Drosophila melanogaster: one gene and its partners. The protein of the gene in region 3 interacts with the protein of the main gene of each other region in a pairwise test. Each region holds a gene or a part of one and is shown on either strand. Other genes may lie near its edges.

Region 1 (5,559 bases), 8.0 Mb from region 3:
TGAAGTATATACCAAATCTATTATTTAAGAATAAGGTGGGTAGTCGTCGCCGGTTGAGCCCTCTGTTTACTTTATCTCATTACCACATTATTGTTTGTTGTTTCACATGCAGTATCACTCCATGAGCAAGATAGGCAAGTGTTCGGTTCCCTTTTTGTTTATTTCGGGCCTTGCGGACAACTTAGTGCCACCGCGCATGATGCGTGCCTTGTATACCAAATGCGGCAGCGAGATAAAGCGCCTGCTCGAATTCCCCGGCGGATCGCACAACGACACTTGGATAGTGGACGGGTATGGCCGGCAATTAATCTTCACTTTCCCATTTATCCATGGGTGTGCTTGCTTTTTAGGTACTATCAGGCCATCGGTGGGTTTTTGGCCGAGCTGCAGCAACAGCCGCTCCTCAAGGCGCCGGAGAAGAGCAACGTCTGGGTGGAGCTGGAGCATAAAATTATTGATGTATAGACCCGAATACATCAAGTGTTCAATTGACTGTGTTAACACTGCGAATGGTTTAATACTTATACATATACACACGCATAATATTAATCTGTATCTGACAGGGTTTTAATCCGGACGTTGCTATACGCCAAATTGCTTTTTATGTGCAGAGAATAACGTGCTAGCGGAGATGGCTGTTGATTTTAAGTAACCAACTTAAATAACTTTGCGCTTAAGCAAGTGAATACACACTAGAATCCGAATTTCGATGTTTGCTTGTATTTGTCCTAAGCTATGTTAACCTACTACTTTGCCCGATTGGCGGCCAGTTAAGAGTATAGAAATTGATCAGTATTTCACAAAAAAGTAAACTATTTTCTGGACTGACTCCTACATTGCCAGATTAGTTTATAGAAGCCTTCACCCCTAGCACGTTAACATTTTGTGCTGGTTCCATTTTTGAAATGTTAAATTAATAACTTGTTAGGATTGCAAAGGAAGCCAGAAAAAGTTATCTTAAGTTTAGACTTAAGTGCGAAGAAAAAGGAAATTCGAGAAACAATAAACTGCAAACAATTGCTAGAATCCACGGAAGTCCTCATCGGCACTGTCATCACTGGCGGGCGTGGATGATCGTTTGCGGCTTTCTGGTTTTTCCTCTGGCTGATCTGTTGCTTCCTCCTCAGCACTCGGCACAATTTCCTGAGCCTGCGATCGGTGGTGGAAGACAAAGGACACGCACTTGCAATCCATCCAGGCCTGGGCGAGAATATTGTCAGGCAGGCCTCTGTTGTTGGAGCAATGGTACCATTGTGACAAATGCGAGGTGCAGTCCGTGTCCTCGGGCGGTGGCTTCATTTGTATATTTTGAACGCAGCGCTTACACTTGAGCCTGAAAAGATATGTTACACGATCATGATCTAAAGGGTATCCAAAGCCAGTTCTTACTTGTCGTGTGTGTCGGACAGAATGTTCGCATCAAATGTAAACAAGTCCTTCAGATCGTCGCGGGTGAAATGCTTCTCGGCCGACTCGTTGTTGTCAATGATGGTGCTCGACAGGGATTTTTTGTGCGTCTGTCGCTGCAGGATCTTCTCCTCGATGGAACCACTCTGAAAGAGATTTCTTGAGTTGAAAAAGAAAGTTCCGTGCAGAACCAATTCAGGTACTCACGGCAACGAGGCGATATATGTAACAGGGCTTCTTTTGCCCGTCACGCCACACTCTGGCCATTGCCTGCTCATCGTTGGCCGGATTCCAGTCTGGGTCAAACATGAACAGGCGGTTGGCTCCAATCAAATTCAAGCCGCAGCCGCCAGCCTTGCTGCTCAGCATGAAAAGGAAGCTGTCAGACTCCGGGTCATTGAATCGGTCAACAACCTTCGATCGCTTCTTGATGGACATGGTGCCATCAAGCCGGACAAATCCGTACTTTCGCTTCCTCGCGAGCTGCTCGAACAAGTCCAGGGTCTGTGTGTAATTGGAAATGAGAACCACCTTGTCGTTGCCCTCTGCACGTATTGCTGCCAGCATGAAATCCAGGAGCATGAACTTGCCACTTAGCTCTGGATTGAGATCCCTGGAACACAAAAGATTCATTAATAGCCATTGCTATTCGCGCGCAACAGGCGACGTACTTTGGTTTGTAATTACTAGGCAGCACATTTTGGGAGTTTTCGAATCCCTTTTCCCGCGCAGTGAGCTTCTCATATATGAGATCCGGATGACTGCAAATCTTCTTAAGCGTTGTAATGTCTGCCAGCGCCGTAAGCGAAGCCTTTTCATTGCAATCTTGAAGGGAATTGTAAATGGTAGGAATGTTGTGGTAGTATTGCCTAATGACTTACCCGCCAAACTACGTCGAACTTGATCAGACTTCAAGAAATTCGTGTATAGCTCGAGTTGAATCGCCGTCAGTTTCGCACAGATAACCATTTCAAACTTAACCGGCAGATATTTGGTTAGAATTTGATTAGTGCGACGAATGATGCACTGATCGACCAGACCTATCAGCTCCTGTGTCTTCTCTATGGCCCGTTGTCGCTCCTGTTCCGTGGAGTCAGTATTCTGGCCCCGCAGAATAGCGCTCTCGAAGTTGCGCTTAAACACGGCCGCCGTTCCCAGCATCTCCGGGTTTACAAAGTTCACCAGGCTGTAGTACTCAGTAAGATCGTTCTGGATGGGAGTGCCGGAAAGCAAGACCCGTCGCTTTGTCTTCAGTCCCATGAGAGCCTGATACGTCAGATTGTCGCTGTTCTTGAGGCGATGTCCCTCGTCGCATATCACCATTCCCACCTCGTACTTGCACAGGATCTCCGCGTAGATGCGAAATGTCTCGTAGCTGATGAGCAGAACAGGTGTCCCCAGCCGGGCAGAAGTCATGGAGAACTGCTCGAGTGCTCGGATGGTGTTCTCCTTGGTCCCGCCCTCCATGGGCAGGCAAAGGAGTCGACCGTGAAGCCACTTGGTAAACTCCTTCTCCCAGTTCTTAACCAGCGATGATGGAGACACGACAATGGCTTTGTTGATCGTCGGCTTGCACTCGGGCCCCTGCCTTAGAAGTGTCCAGACCAGCGTTACGCACTGCAGCGTCTTCCCGAGACCCATTTCGTCGGCCATGATGCATCCATTGAAGTTGCCCCGCTTTCCCTCCACACACTCGTACATGAAACGCACTCCCTCGCGCTGGTGCGGCCGCAATATGTTGCTCAGCAGCGGATCGACGACGACGTGCACCAGAACCTTGGTCGGATCCATGCCCATGCGCTCGTGTTCTGTGTAGGCGGGTGGATGGAAGAGTACCAAGGCGTTGCAGGCCATCGGATCGTGTAGGGGTCGTCGGGAAATGCAGCGCCGCACGCCCAGGACCCGTTTACCACCGTAATCCGGTACGTAATTGTCCATGGGCACCTTGAACTTCCGTGCCAGAACCTTGGCAATGGCCAACTCATACTCGCTGTTCGCCGTGAAGCGAATAGGCAGTGGGAGCTCTGATGTGTTGCTGGCATCTCGGAGGGCGCCCAGTCGTCTTCTGTCCAGTTCTTGCTCTCGCTCCAGTTCCTGCTGGCAGGATCGCTTGTTTTTCTTCAGCAGTGGCGGCGTGAAGGAGTGACGGGACTCGGGACGCAGTGGTCCACGTTGGCTGGGAGCCAGACTGCGCCGCTTTAGGAATAAATGATTAGGGAAATGGAATTAAATAAATCAAATTTTTGTATTTACCATTTCATTAAATTCAAATGGCGGTAGCGCGAACAGCTGATAGAAGCGCGGAAGTCTGGTCACACAGGCGATAAGAAATACTGGTAAGTGGAACGCTGGGATAATGAAACAGAACGCATTTAATCAAACTAATACTTGTGATCATAGCACGCTGTTTTAAAAGTGAATAGATAATTAGATAAAAATAAAACTAAAATGGAATTGCTACACCCCGATGTCAAAAATTCCCGATGTATCTCAGGTATAATCGAAACATCGATATGTTATATTGATAGCTGCTCATCGCTAACTTTCTATTTCCGTGCAGATATAATTGTAAATATTTACGCAGAATTGCTTTGGAAACACTACGAAAATAGTGCAAAATGAGGCAATAAAGTGCGGGCCGGACTGCCTTCCCTTTCTTGACTTCAAAACCCGCGCCAAAAGCGCGAATTTCGTGCTGCAAGAACGCAAATCTAGTCCGCAAATCTGCGGAAGTGTTGGTACTACCACTTAATTGTATTTGTAATTGTAATTGCCAAAGTGCCAAAAAAAAAAACGCTGCAAATGCTGCAAGCGTGAAAACCCATCTAAGAAGGGCCACTAAACAGTAATGGGTGTAGATGCACGATGCACGGAGAGCGGAAAGCAGCGGAGACGATGACGATGATCAAATCTAAATTCATCAGGTGAGCGAGCAGCAGCAGCAACAACAACCACAGTGAGTGCCCAAATAGGTGGGCACACGTACACAGGTGTGTGTGTGGCTGTGTGCGTAAGTGTGTCACTTGTTGTTCTTGGGAACATTAGAGAAAAGTAAATAGCGAATATTCAACTAAAGTGCGTCTTCTTTTAGCTTCTAAATATTTAAAAAGCGAGCAACATTGAAATACTCACCACTCACACAGTCGGACAAAAGCACAAAACGAGAGATAACAGAGCACCAGCACCACCAATTCATGCCAAACGAAACGCACACGGAGCAGTTATCAGCGGACCAGCGCCACTAAAAGCCACCGAATCGCACACACACCGCACCGACAACGATGTGGCTGCGCCAGAGCAGCGGTGGAGGCGTTGCCTCCGTCGGACACGTCGGCCCACTGCGACAGCGACCCATCGACGCTGCCACAGACTGCGATCCGCGCGCTTGCTACGACAGCTTCTGTAAGCACTGGCAGCAGGCCTTCGAGATCATCCAGCACAGTGCACCGCCCTCGCACGACGACGTGCTGGGCGTGGTCTCGCACTTGGACTACATGGTCACCCTGCTGCTCGTGGAGCTGCATCACTGCAACAAAGTCTCGCTGCCGGCGGCCGAGGCTAGTGGTCCGCCTGCGGCGCCCTGCCTGGAATTCCTGCTCAGCGAGAATCTGCTGGACAAGCTGTACGAGTGGGCCTGCACCACGGGACGGTATGCCAACGCTGTGAGGCTGGAGCAGCTGAAGCTGTACGAACTGCTCGTCAGCCACTCGCGCCACCAGCTGCTCTGCCACGAGCCCTTCCTGCGACCCCTGCTCAAGATACTGGCATCCAGCCAGGGCGAGATCTTTCCGCCCGATCTCGAGAAGCGCCTGGTGATCCTGCTGAACCAGCTGTGCGTGGTTCTTATGCAGAATGTCCACCTGCTGGACCTCTTTTTCTTCTCCGCCCAGACGCAGGTGCAGGAGCAGATATTAAATGGCAACGTGGCGCCACCCAAAAGCGGAACCACTACCAAGTAAGCTCATAACTTTTAAACATTCCAATTCATTCAGCATAAAAAAGAATAGCGATAAATGAATATTTGTGTAATGATTCATCGCGTAATAGCGACATTAGCCAGATAAGGCAATACTAAAAAAGTGACCCTGTAATATTCCAATTACGAGTGATGAATCCACTTGACTTGTTCCATTTATCTTCTAAGATTTATAT
Region 2 (3,985 bases), on a different chromosome or scaffold from region 3:
ACAAAAACGCGACGGAATATTTCAGTCATCATTGGGGGGCGTATTTTGGCTCAATGACAAAAGACGGAAGCTGGGGTGATGAGGTGCAGTCCCCACATAAATTATGCTGCAAGGCGGACTGCAACTAAGCATTTTGAATGCTGGAAATACCGACATGCTAATTATCCATTCGCATTCCATTGTTATACCCTAACTGAGAGTACAATAGAATAGGTCAGACTTGTGACAATTTATGTACGTTTGTAAAAAAAATATCAGCATCTTGAAATGAAATTTTGAACAAATATTATAAAACAGAGTCTTCTTATTATCGATCTTGCTCAATAGTTGCTAACAAATAGGAAGTGTATCAAAATTTCGTTAAAACTGCATATTATGCCTAATTCGCACGATTCCCTGCCAATTTTAATATCTTCAGATACGCAAACAAAGATGCATATGTTTGTGTAAGTAGATGTTGCGTCTAATGTATCTCAAGATATTTCGACGGGCTAGACGGAGATAAATATAGTTTTACATATAGCGGCTAGAAATGTGGAATAAAAACAAAAACACATTTCGCAGATGAGCGAGTACCGACTTTGTGTGTGTGAGTGTGTGTGTGTGAATGAGTGGCATGGCAACAGGATCATAACGGTTAATTGCTATATAGAACGTAACGGTAACGGCAGGCAAAATTGGGGCAAACGGCCAAATGCAAAACAACAACAATGGCAAGGGCGAGGGAATTCGTATACACGTATGTTTATATATGTGTGTGTGTGTGTTGTGTGCTATGCGGAAGAACGGAAGCAAAACAAAATGCGATCTGTTTGAGTTCAGGAATATACCTTTCCTTGTAATAGTCCAGGGTTACCGATTCGGAATCAAATTCTGAATAATCTGGCAGCGATTCGGCATCAAAGGAGCTCATTCCGCTGAGCGTGTAATTGGGCAAGACGTTCATTTTGTTGTTGTAGCCAACAAGGTTACCCTGCTGCTGTTGTTGTTGCTGCTGCTGGTACTGCTGATGCATAGTTGTTGCTGTTTTTTCTACGTTTATTTTACTATATTTGCCTTATTTAACAATATGGCACACGCACACACACTCACGCCCAGGAGAAACTGGCTGCTATATTTTTTCTCTATTCTCTTTTCGCTGCCTTTTCACACTCTCGCCGTCTGCTTTGCACTTTCGCAAAAATATGCGTCGGTTTTGGGTTCAACCTGTATGCACTTACACTCTGCTTGAAAAGCTCTGTCGCTTTTCCACTTTCACATGTTCCTCGACCACTGACTTTTCTATATAATCAAAAAATAAAAACGACGAAAATAATAATGTTTTGCTTCCCTCATAGAGCTGGAACTTAAATCGATGTTGTCTCGATACTATCGTTTTGGCTGGGCATTTCTCGATAGCGATAAAGTGCCATGGAACTATCAGTTAATTTACATTTACCGTCAAATTATTTAATTTAACGAAGAAAGGAAATTAAAATAGCTTACATTTCGGATGTTTAAACTTTTATCAAAGCGGGGGCTGTGCTTTATAAAAATTTCCTAACAGTGAGGGAGAGACACTATCTGTCACATGTTATATCGGGCATGTAAACAACGCAATCTGATAATATATATATATTGCTGTATTAAGACCAACCAGAGTAGAGTAAAAATTAAGAAATCAGTACGTTTAATTATTTTATTGTAAGACTTAAGGTCAAAAGAGTTGTTGGAATGCAAAATGCAAACTTTGAAGTTTTAATTAACACGGAATTCAAACAAATAATCAATTATTATAAAGATATTTTTAAGTGAATAAAATTTTAATTATTGCTTAAGCATATTAATCACTGTGCTTGGCGCTTTTGTAACGGTTTTACGATGTATATCGCAATGACCACTTCCACTGACACGAAAAATAACGAAATCAGTGTGACCGTTTTCCACCGTACGAGAACGTAAGAAATCGGCGTCGCGTGGCTTGGACAGAGATTATCGAACAAAACAAAATCCGACTACAGAATCTTTTAACTTCGTTTACCCTTAAGAGTCCGCGGTGGATCCGAGGAATCGATGGCTACGGACACGGTGTCCAACGGCGAGAACTTCGCCCAGCACTTGAGCAGAAACAGCGACGACGACGTGATCTGTCCCACATGCGACGTGAAGATCAAGCGCAGTCAGGTGGCCGATCACTGCCAAGTGGAGATGGAGCGATTGCACAATCCCATTAGCGCTGTCACTCCACCGACCCCAACTAGCGGAGCAACCGCGTCCGAGGAATCCGGTTCGGTATCGGGGGGCAGACAACCGTGGAGCGTGTTCCAGCGGGTGCAGCGCAATCGGCAGGCCCGTCAGCGCCAGCGCACCAGGAAGCGTCCGGCTTCTCCTGCCCCACCAGCAACTGTAAATCCTACGGTAGCAGCTGCTCCTCCTCCAGCTGCAGCAACTCCGTCCGTAGCTGCTGCCGAATCGAGCCAACCCACCTGTCCCGTGTGCAACCACAACTTTCCGCAGTCCAACATCCAAGAGCATGTTAATCATTGCCTGCGCCAGAGCCGCCGCAATGGTCAGGCCAATGGTGAGCGGCATTCGAGTGAGGACTCGGAGGACAGCGAGGAATATGAAGAGTACGAGTGGGCGGGACAGAAGCGCATTCGCGTCTCCACTCTCGTGCAAGGAGGCTATTCCGCCCTGGGCCTGGGCCAGAGAATCAAATACAATGGCAGTCAGCAGGCGCAGGACGACGAGGACGAAGATCTCAACGTGGACGAGGATGACACTCACATCTATGGTCCTACGCAGTATGGCGAGGGCGATGTGATCCCACTGGTCAACGAGGACACAGAGGGAAATGTTTCCGAGGCGGATGTTACCAGCTACGTGCGCCGACTTATCTCCTCCAGCGATGGGCCCAAGCCAAACCATTCCAGCGAAGCCACCGAGCAAGAGCCTGCCAGCACAAGCAACGTGGAGGCTCCACCAGCCAGCGAGGAGCCGTCTACGTCGCGGTCCACGCGATCCACCTCCCAAAACCAGCAGCAGATCATCGAATCGCTGAAGGCCAAGCTGCGGCTCTACGAAAAGCAGGCGCAGGGCAAGTACAAGTGCCTGATCTGCATCGACGACTACAAGAATCCCGCCATCTCCGTGTCCTGCTGGCACGTCCACTGCGAGCAGTGTTGGTTGCAGACGCTCGGCGCGCGAAAGCTGTGCCCGCAGTGCAACTCGATTACCACGCCGAAGGACCTGCGACGAATCTACCTGTAGACGTCCATCACAGACTTGTTATCCCCGCTGCCAAATTGCTTGCGCCATAAAACAGGCTTTGCATCCCGACGCAGCTTTAGATGATAATCCCCTATACATATTATTTATATAGATTACAAATACCAATTATACTACGTGACATTACAATAAGCCTACCATGTAACTATTGCAATAAACCGCAGAAAACATAATTAATATTTAAGTTTATTTAACGAAATTAGCATGTAGGAAGGGAAAAGCGTTTAAAGACATGCAAACAAGTTATTTTAAATACCTTATTTTGAACTAAAATAAAAAAGCAATCAATCCAATATTATATCCAATATTATTTTCGAATCACAAAAATGATAAATTATTCCACTATAATTTACAAATGTTTCATTTTAAGTAATAAATAAATATTTTTTACTGTGTACCGGTTTGTTTTCATGTTCAGTTATCGATAATATAATGTTTGCGTTAGTGATGAGCAAGTTTTGCCTGGTAGCGGTTCCTCACGCGCTCATCTCTATATCACATTGCTTGGTTTTCTGTTTAATTTTTCCACAATGTCCGGCTCCGGTGGGATTTAATTGGAAAAAGGAGTATTTGATCTGTACGCTAATCCTGTCTTCCTTGCAGGCGCCAATCCCTTTGCCCAGTTCCAGGAGTCATTCACCCAGGACGGCAACGTCTACAAGTATTTTGATCTGCCCTCCATCGACAGCAAATATGGTTGGTAATCGTTATTGTTGTT
Region 3 (7,418 bases):
ACCCTACTTTGTTGTACCAATTAGGAAAAGATTCTATCCAATCATGCCATTTCATGAAGATACCAAAGCTTATAAATATTTTAGAAATATAATTAAAACTTCTTCAACTTTAAAGGTGTTATTTTTCAAATACGCAACAATTTTTTGTTGTTTGCACTGCTTTGAATTATGATACACTGCTTAGGAATTTCTCTTCACTGCTTATATGGGTAACAAAAACCTAGGGAAATTTTAGTTCTTGGACTGCTTGCAAAACATTTGAACTGCTTAGTTTCGAGAGAACTGTTCTAGAAAAATTGCCCAGGAAATATTACTGATCTAAATTCTAGTCTCTTTTGGGAAATAAAAACTGCTTTCAAGCCGCTTTTCCAATTTAAACAAGTGTGTAGTGCAAGCCATGCTGCCAATGCCAACAGGTGTGTTCAGAATCTTACGATTCATCAATATGCCCCCAAAAACATAATCAAGCACAGAAAAACATTGAGAAATACGCCTTTACTTCACATCTTTCAATTTTATTTTATTTATGCAAAATCGTGTTTTCCATTAAATATACAAATGAGATTTAAAATCAAATCAAAAGTATCGCGCTATTATGCAAGTATTGGGGAGGAGTCTACAGAAATGTACACACAAATGCAAGAAAACTATGAATAAAAGTATAAAAATATTTGAATCTATTGTTTGCCTTCAAAATGCAGTTGGAATTGTTAAGTTCAGTTAACACAATAGAGTTAACACTTCGCGCATCGCCACAAAAAACGCACTTTAATAATTACAATTACAAAATTTCAATGGTAGAACTTTTCACAAAACTCTCATGCCGTTGTAAACGAATTTAAAAATAATGTTTTCTCAACTTGGAGAAAAATGTTTAAACACATGTTTTACAACAGAAAATTTCTCGTGTCTTTCACTAATTTATCAGTATCGAGGTTGAATTTACTAGATTGTTAGTGTACTATCGGCATCCACAAAGATTTGCTCGTATTGCTTTTTCTTAATTAAACTTGACGAGAAGTTGTTGATAAATGTGAATGACTTCTTGAGTTTCGACTTATAGAACATTTTCCGGTTTTTTAACTTTTTGCGAAAAATTAGGGCTTCCTTCACTATTTACTATGACGCGTATTCTGTTTGCATCTGCTGCAGCTGCTGATGATGTTGCTGTTCGAGAAGTAAGCGTTCCTGACGCTTAAAATCATTTGAGCTTGGCGTATGCGTCGACCTTTTTGTGAAACTGGTTGTAGTACTCCAGGGCGGCGTTACGCGTCTGGTTCAGCGCCTGATTGATGTTCTCGGGCGAGAGACGGCCACTAAACAAAGATCACAATCATAAGGGATGCATTCTCAAAGACAACAAAGGCCAGGCAGGCAGGCATACTTACACAAGCACCTTTTCCTTGATGAGCGCTGCAGCCTTTTCATAGCTGCTGGCGGCTAAATCGCTAACGCCAGCGGCAAAAGCTTCGATTTTGCCAGACGAATTGGGCACGTATTGGTCAATCTAAAATATAGATGGAACGTATTATTAATTCAAAACTGGTTTGCCCATGACCTCATCTTCATGGCGACTAAAAGACACTTACGAACTTTGCCACAACGGGCCATTTGGCGCCAAAGTATCCCTTGCCGTTCTGGTAAGCGTTGCAGGCCGCATTCCTCGCCAGCTTCCACAGGTCACAGGTGGTCTTGATCACCGGCTCGGCGTACGGCGGCACATTCACTTCCGCCCACTTGTAGCCCCGCGCTCCGGCCCCCATGACCGTGTACCAGGACTTCTGGACATGCGGCAGGACTCCGGCATTTTTCAGCACCTTGCCGGTGGCCGATTTCTCGAACACGCCCTTGCCGTTCACCTCGGTATCGTAGTACAGAGCTCCGGCAATCAGGGCGATGATGAAGATGCTACCCAAGGTCCACTTGCAGCATCCGCATTTCTTTTTTTCTGCCGCGGCCTTCTGTTTGTTCTTCTTCTGCTGCGCGCTGCTCTTCTCTTGGACGCTCTACATAGTACAAAATTAGAAAATTATTAAGAATCTTAATTGCTGGGGATAGTTGATATTGTGGAATCATTTGATTGAGTTCAATTTTTTACCTTTTTGGCGGCCGGCACTGGTTTGCCGCTCTGTTTGTTACTTTTCGGTTTAACCTGAGCCATTTTCTAACTTAATTTCAATGAGTTTCGATTATGAAGAGTATTTCTAGATTTCCTCAGCTGTTCGCAAAAGATGTTTAATTATTTATTGTGTTTATCATTGCAATTGTGTTTGCTAAAAAGAATGACGAGACTTTTTGAGCTTTTAAACTGAGCTTTTTTTGCGACTGAGCTCGATGACCTAAGATTTAAGAGTAAGCTAAAACCGCGAGTGAGGATGGGGATAATTAAAAATTGGAAATACGTAGTTATAATACCATTTTGTCCAGATTAAAAACATTTATATTCAATATGCAGGCTATGCTTAATTGGTGTAGATACTTTTTTTTCAATTTTTAGGAACACTTGTATAGGTTTTGCACAAATTTAATGAAGAAAACATGTATTCATTCATTGTGATGGTCTTCAAAATTAGATATATTTACTAATTACTTTAAACGTTGAAAATGAATGAACTAATGAACTAAATACATTAGTCATAATGATTATGAAAAAATGTAATCTTTTTTAAATTTGTTACTTTCACCATTATTTAAAAATAACACACCTTGTCTCTAAATTAAAGTATCATTTACACTCACAATAGTTTCTTCTGTGGACAAAAGAGTTGAATGAACTATGCCCTCTAAATTTCGTCTGTTTTATGCTTTCGGAGTGAAAGAAAGAAAGAATGATGGAAGGCCAGCGAGAATCAGGGTCACAGTGGACATGCCACGTGTTGAAGCAGCCCAAATCTTCAAATGGTTCTCTTTCGCCCCCCTTTTTGGACCATAGAATTCGGAATCGTGGCGTTGCGAGATTTTCAGGTGATAGTGCGAAACTGCACCACTGTGCAATAATGAGAGTGAGAGTGCGGAGAAGAGGCGAAGAGAGGAGGAGAGTGCGCACAAGCGGGATGTGAGAGGGGAGTGGGTGAGGGAGCAGGAGGCGAGTGGCCAATCGCAGCTGGAACACATCAGTCAATAGGAAAATAAAAATAAGCCTCAGATCAGCCGAAAATTGGGTGTACTGATAAGAATGTTGGCTGATAATGCGGCAATTTATGATCCCCGATGGCCATGCCCACTCTCTTTTCGAAAGCAAAACGTCTGCTCTGCTCGGAGAAATTTAGCGGCAACTGGAACCCGCATGGCAACGCTATGGGAAAAGTGCAGCTATAGCTGCCACCAATACCAGTGCAGAACGGCGGAATACACAACCGTTAATACTGACACGCACACATATGCACGAAACGCACTTTGCACTACTGCAACAGCAACAATAATTGCGACAACGCGATAATTAAGGTGCGGACCATTAATTTATGCTCACTCCAGGCTTCAAAAGCCAGTTGAATAGCGGAGAAATTTCGGACGAACGCCGGCTAACGCTTTCCATCTCTTTCCCGCAGCGACGTCGCGTTGGCAGCGTCCTCCTAAAGAACTCTAACTTCATTAACGGCTAACAGTTCGGCCACTTCTACGTGAAGAGTTTTACATTAGTTAGCTGCAGTGTAATAAGCTCATATCATTCTTTTTAGCACCGATTGCAATAAATTATTCACTTTTAGACGGCAGTTCTACAAGTTTATACCTTCGTTTTTCTTTTCACTAAAGCAATGTGACCAGAGTACGTAATGTACTAAGCCAGACCACTTAACTTAAACAGTGTTACCAGAGGTGTGAGAAAATTCAAATTTATAGTGTTTCTGATTTCATTTAAGTTTGAATAATAAGTTTGGGTTAAAAAAGCTAACAAAATAAATATATTACCTATATACTAGTTTTCCAATAAAACTATAAAAGATAAAACAACACACATTCAACATTCACCTTTTATCGATCTGGGATCAGAGCCTTATGCTTGGAATCGAGTGATATACTTAAGTCGCACTCACCAACAAAACCTCCTTTAAATCATCTAGGTGACCTTCGTTTCTCTTGCTTCCCTGCAGTTCTTCGTTCAGATTCGCCACATCTTGCAGAAAAGAGTGATACACAGTCGACGTAGCCAACTCATGGGTAGACGTGGTCCAATTGTCGTCTAGGAAAAGATAGAAATTCAATATTAGATAACACATTAACGTTAAGTGTGGGTGGTACTTTTAAACAAAAATCCAATTAAATGAATTTTCACAGCTGTAGATCGTACTTATAGCTTTCAGAAGCAGTAGACTAGGCAACTGTTGCTTCTTGTAGTTCATGCGCCACACCCTGAGGCAATCATCTCTGCCGCTGCTGAGCAGACAACTAATACAGCCTTCGATCTCATTAGTCTGCTTGGATCCGGCGCTTATTTCCCGGAAGAGCGTAAGGAATATGTTGGCATGCCTCACAGGACTGTTGATATAGTGTTGCTACACACAGGAGGAAGAAAGGTCAGTGAAACAATGGGACAACTATCAATTGTTTTCGTCCTTACAAGCAACAAACGCGCACTACGCTTCAGACTTTGCTGCCATTCCTTGGGCAGGTGGTTATAGGGTGCATTGAGCGCATTGTAAGTGGCAAAGAACTCCTGCTGGTTGATCTGCAGAGGATCCGCTGTCTTCCGGACAGCTGCTGCACTCAGAGCCCGCTCCATATACTCGACCACAAACTTGGTGTACTGCTTTAGCTCCAGGTTGGGCAGCATCAGGTTCTGCCACACGCGAACGCCCTCGTTTAGGGACTGATAGCCACCTTGTCCAATTGCCCACAGGATGCTCAGGCAGATGTTGCTACGGTTCTGATAGGAGTTCCTTAGCAACGCAGTCTTGGCCAGGTTCCTAGAACAAATGTTCGGCCAGTTTTGACCGATCAACTGTAGGATGAGCTTGTAGCCTGCCACTGTCTGATTGTTGTTTAGATCCGTTGACATGCTATCCAGCAGGGAGTAGAAGAAATACTCCAGGTTTTGTTCGCCCACACTGCCCAGAAACTCCACAATTGAGTACTTGAGCGAGGCGCTGGCCAAATTGCTGGGATACTGAGCCGAGCGGCCGGAGAAGATGGGATCGCAGTCATAGGACAAGGCTTCATTGAAGTATAGCGCAATCTGGGGGACAACGATAGGTGAGCAAATATTTAGGCACATTTCCTTTAGAAACATACATGGCTTAACCAGCGCAGCTCGGAGCCAGGACAACTGAGCTTCACCTGCTCCAGTTGGGCAGCAAAATCATCCCGGGTGATGTTTCTCAAGGCCAGCTCCAGAGTCTTTGGCTTCGATGCGGCTGCCGACGTGGTCCTTTTTTGGGTAGAGGCATTCTTTGCGGTGTGCTTTTTAACTGGCGACTTATTGGCTTTTGAGGAAGATGAGGCACTTGAACTAGATTTCGCAGGGGAATGGGACTTGCTGTTGTTGTTGTTGCTGCTGCCGAACAAATTGCGATACCGCTGAGTTGGCACTGCGAAGTGAATAAAATGGCAGGGGCAAACATGTAATCGCATTGCAAGGTGCACCTTTTAAAAGATTCTTACACAGCTCCTCCAGTTTGGGCAACTGGGCCGCGATGCGCTTCTGCTCGTTGTGTGCAGACACCTTCTTGTCCAGATTCTTTTGCTTGCGCGACTTGGAGACCACCTCCCATTGTTCCGACATGTTGCGAGCAGTCTTTTTATCGATGGTATTAAATTAAATCAGAAAATGCAGGCAGCCGGCAGAATAAAAAGCAACAAGCCAAGAGTGTGGCCAGCGCAAGTGTAAAGTAATGTGGTCTACTTTCGGTAGTTGAATTACCGACCGCTTTTTAATGTGATTTTAAAGCAGCTGCCTGCTTTTTGTTGTGATACATGTAATAGATAAATAAATAAATTTAGCTATGTTTTAAATGTGTTTGAATAACTGCCAATGCAGGAGAAACCATTTTCTTTACCAGGGCTGAAACGCATACCAAAGTTGTAAAGCCTCTGCGATATATACTATGTTTGCTACATTGGTCACACTGCTCTGCTTGTTTACATTTACAAATTGTAAAATATTATTATTTAATAGCTGCTTTAAATCATAGTTTCTATATATAAATAACAAAAATGGCTGCCTCGCGATCACGGCGCAACAATGCCGGCAACAAAATAGCTCATTTGCTCAATGAGGAAGAGGAGGACGACTTTTACAAAACGTCCTATGGTGGATTTCAGGAGGACGAAGAGGATAAGGAATACGAGTGAGCACTAATCATTTGAATAAATTTAAATGCTCAAGCCATATAAAATTCACTCTGCAGGCAAAAAGACGAAGAGGAAGATGTGGTTGACTCCGACTTCAGTATCGATGAGAACGACGAGCCCGTTTCGGATCAGGAAGAGGCGCCCGAGAAAAAGCGGAAACGCGGTGTCGTTAACACAAAGGCTTATAAGGTGCGAACCATTCTTAAAATGCGATAAAATCCTGTGATTACTGAATGTGTTTAAATGGTACATATGATTTCCGCAGGAAACCAAGCCTGCAGTCAAAAAGGAAACAAAGGCAACGCCGGCCCTGCACAAGAAACGACCTGGTGGTGGGGTAACGAAACGGCGGCCACGTCCACGCTTCACGGTCCTCGATTCCGGCCGCAAATCCATACGCACTTCCACGGCCATCAAGACACAGGCTACCAAAATACGCCTCAAAGAGTTGGACGATGCCCGCAAGCGCAAAAAGAAGAAGGTGCGCGTGGAGGACTACATGCCCACGCAGGAGGAGCTGCTGGAGGAGGCCAAAATAACCGAGGAAGAAAACACTAAATCTTTGGGTGGGTATCTAAAGCAACCAAGGAAGCAGCTATTTTACAATTTGCTGTTGCATTCACAGAGAAATTCCAGAAAATGGAGCTGGAGAAGAAGAAATCACGTCCCACCAAGCGCACGTTCTCCGGACCCACGATACGCTACCACTCACTAACCATGCCAGCGATGCGAAAGCCCACTCGCGGAGCAAACCCTGCGGTCGATTCAAAGGATCTTGCTGGGAAGTGCGAACGCACATTCGTTACAATCGAGAACGATTTCAATGACAAGGTGTTTCAAAGCCTCTTCCGCCACAAGGCGCCTCCCAAAGCCAGCAATGGCATCTGTCCAATCACCAGGCTGCCAGCCCGTTACTTTGACCCGATCACACAGCAGCCATACTACAGCATCCAGGCCTTCAAAATTCTGCGCGAAGCCTACTACATGCAGCTGGAACAGCAAGGCGGCGGCAGCGAGCAACCCGAACTGGCCAAATGGCTGGAATGGCGCAAGCTGGTCAAGGAGAATCGTCTGAAGGCTTCGGCAGCTGCCAGCAAAAACGGAGATAACTAATAATGCTATCAATTTTA

What was found.
Region 1: the proteins of Tmem214 (region 3) and okr interact in a two-hybrid assay, tested with the Drosophila melanogaster proteins (one large-scale study listed by BioGRID).
Region 2: the proteins of Tmem214 (region 3) and RNF220 interact in a two-hybrid assay, tested with the Drosophila melanogaster proteins (one large-scale study listed by BioGRID).

What each region holds. Positions count from the first base shown.
Region 1 is NT_033779.5:2,989,047-2,994,605, forward strand, and holds okr (okra), read right to left. Parts: upstream 3,714-5,559; 5' UTR 3,664-3,713; coding exon 3,661-3,663; intron 3,604-3,660; coding exon 2,289-3,603; intron 2,233-2,288; coding exon 2,079-2,232; intron 2,021-2,078; coding exon 1,615-2,020; intron 1,554-1,614; coding exon 1,390-1,553; intron 1,334-1,389; coding exon 1,021-1,333; 3' UTR 548-1,020; downstream 1-547. Other genes in the region: Bem46, read left to right, coding at 1-35, 113-291, 351-465; CG3558 (uncharacterized protein), read left to right, coding at 4,689-5,362.
Region 2 is NT_033777.3:22,724,337-22,728,321, reverse strand, and holds RNF220 (ring finger protein 220), read left to right. Parts: upstream 1-1,907; 5' UTR 1,908-2,052; coding exon 2,053-3,249; 3' UTR 3,250-3,438; downstream 3,439-3,985. Other genes in the region: CG45049 (uncharacterized protein), read right to left, coding at 831-1,015; Irp-1A (iron regulatory protein 1A), read left to right, coding at 3,798-3,810, 3,871-3,963.
Region 3 is NT_033779.5:10,964,404-10,971,821, forward strand, and holds Tmem214 (transmembrane protein 214), read right to left. Parts: upstream 5,801-7,418; 5' UTR 5,720-5,800; coding exon 5,599-5,719; intron 5,526-5,598; coding exon 5,230-5,525; intron 5,174-5,229; coding exon 4,559-5,173; intron 4,494-4,558; coding exon 4,289-4,493; intron 4,181-4,288; coding exon 4,035-4,180; intron 3,764-4,034; exon of another isoform or gene 3,453-3,763; intron 2,409-3,452; exon of another isoform or gene 2,162-2,408; coding exon of another isoform or gene 2,099-2,161; intron 2,007-2,098; coding exon 1,590-2,006; intron 1,508-1,589; coding exon 1,389-1,507; intron 1,317-1,388; coding exon 1,202-1,316; 3' UTR 502-1,201; downstream 1-501. Other genes in the region: YL-1, read left to right, coding at 6,151-6,284, 6,345-6,477, 6,554-6,854, 6,914-7,401.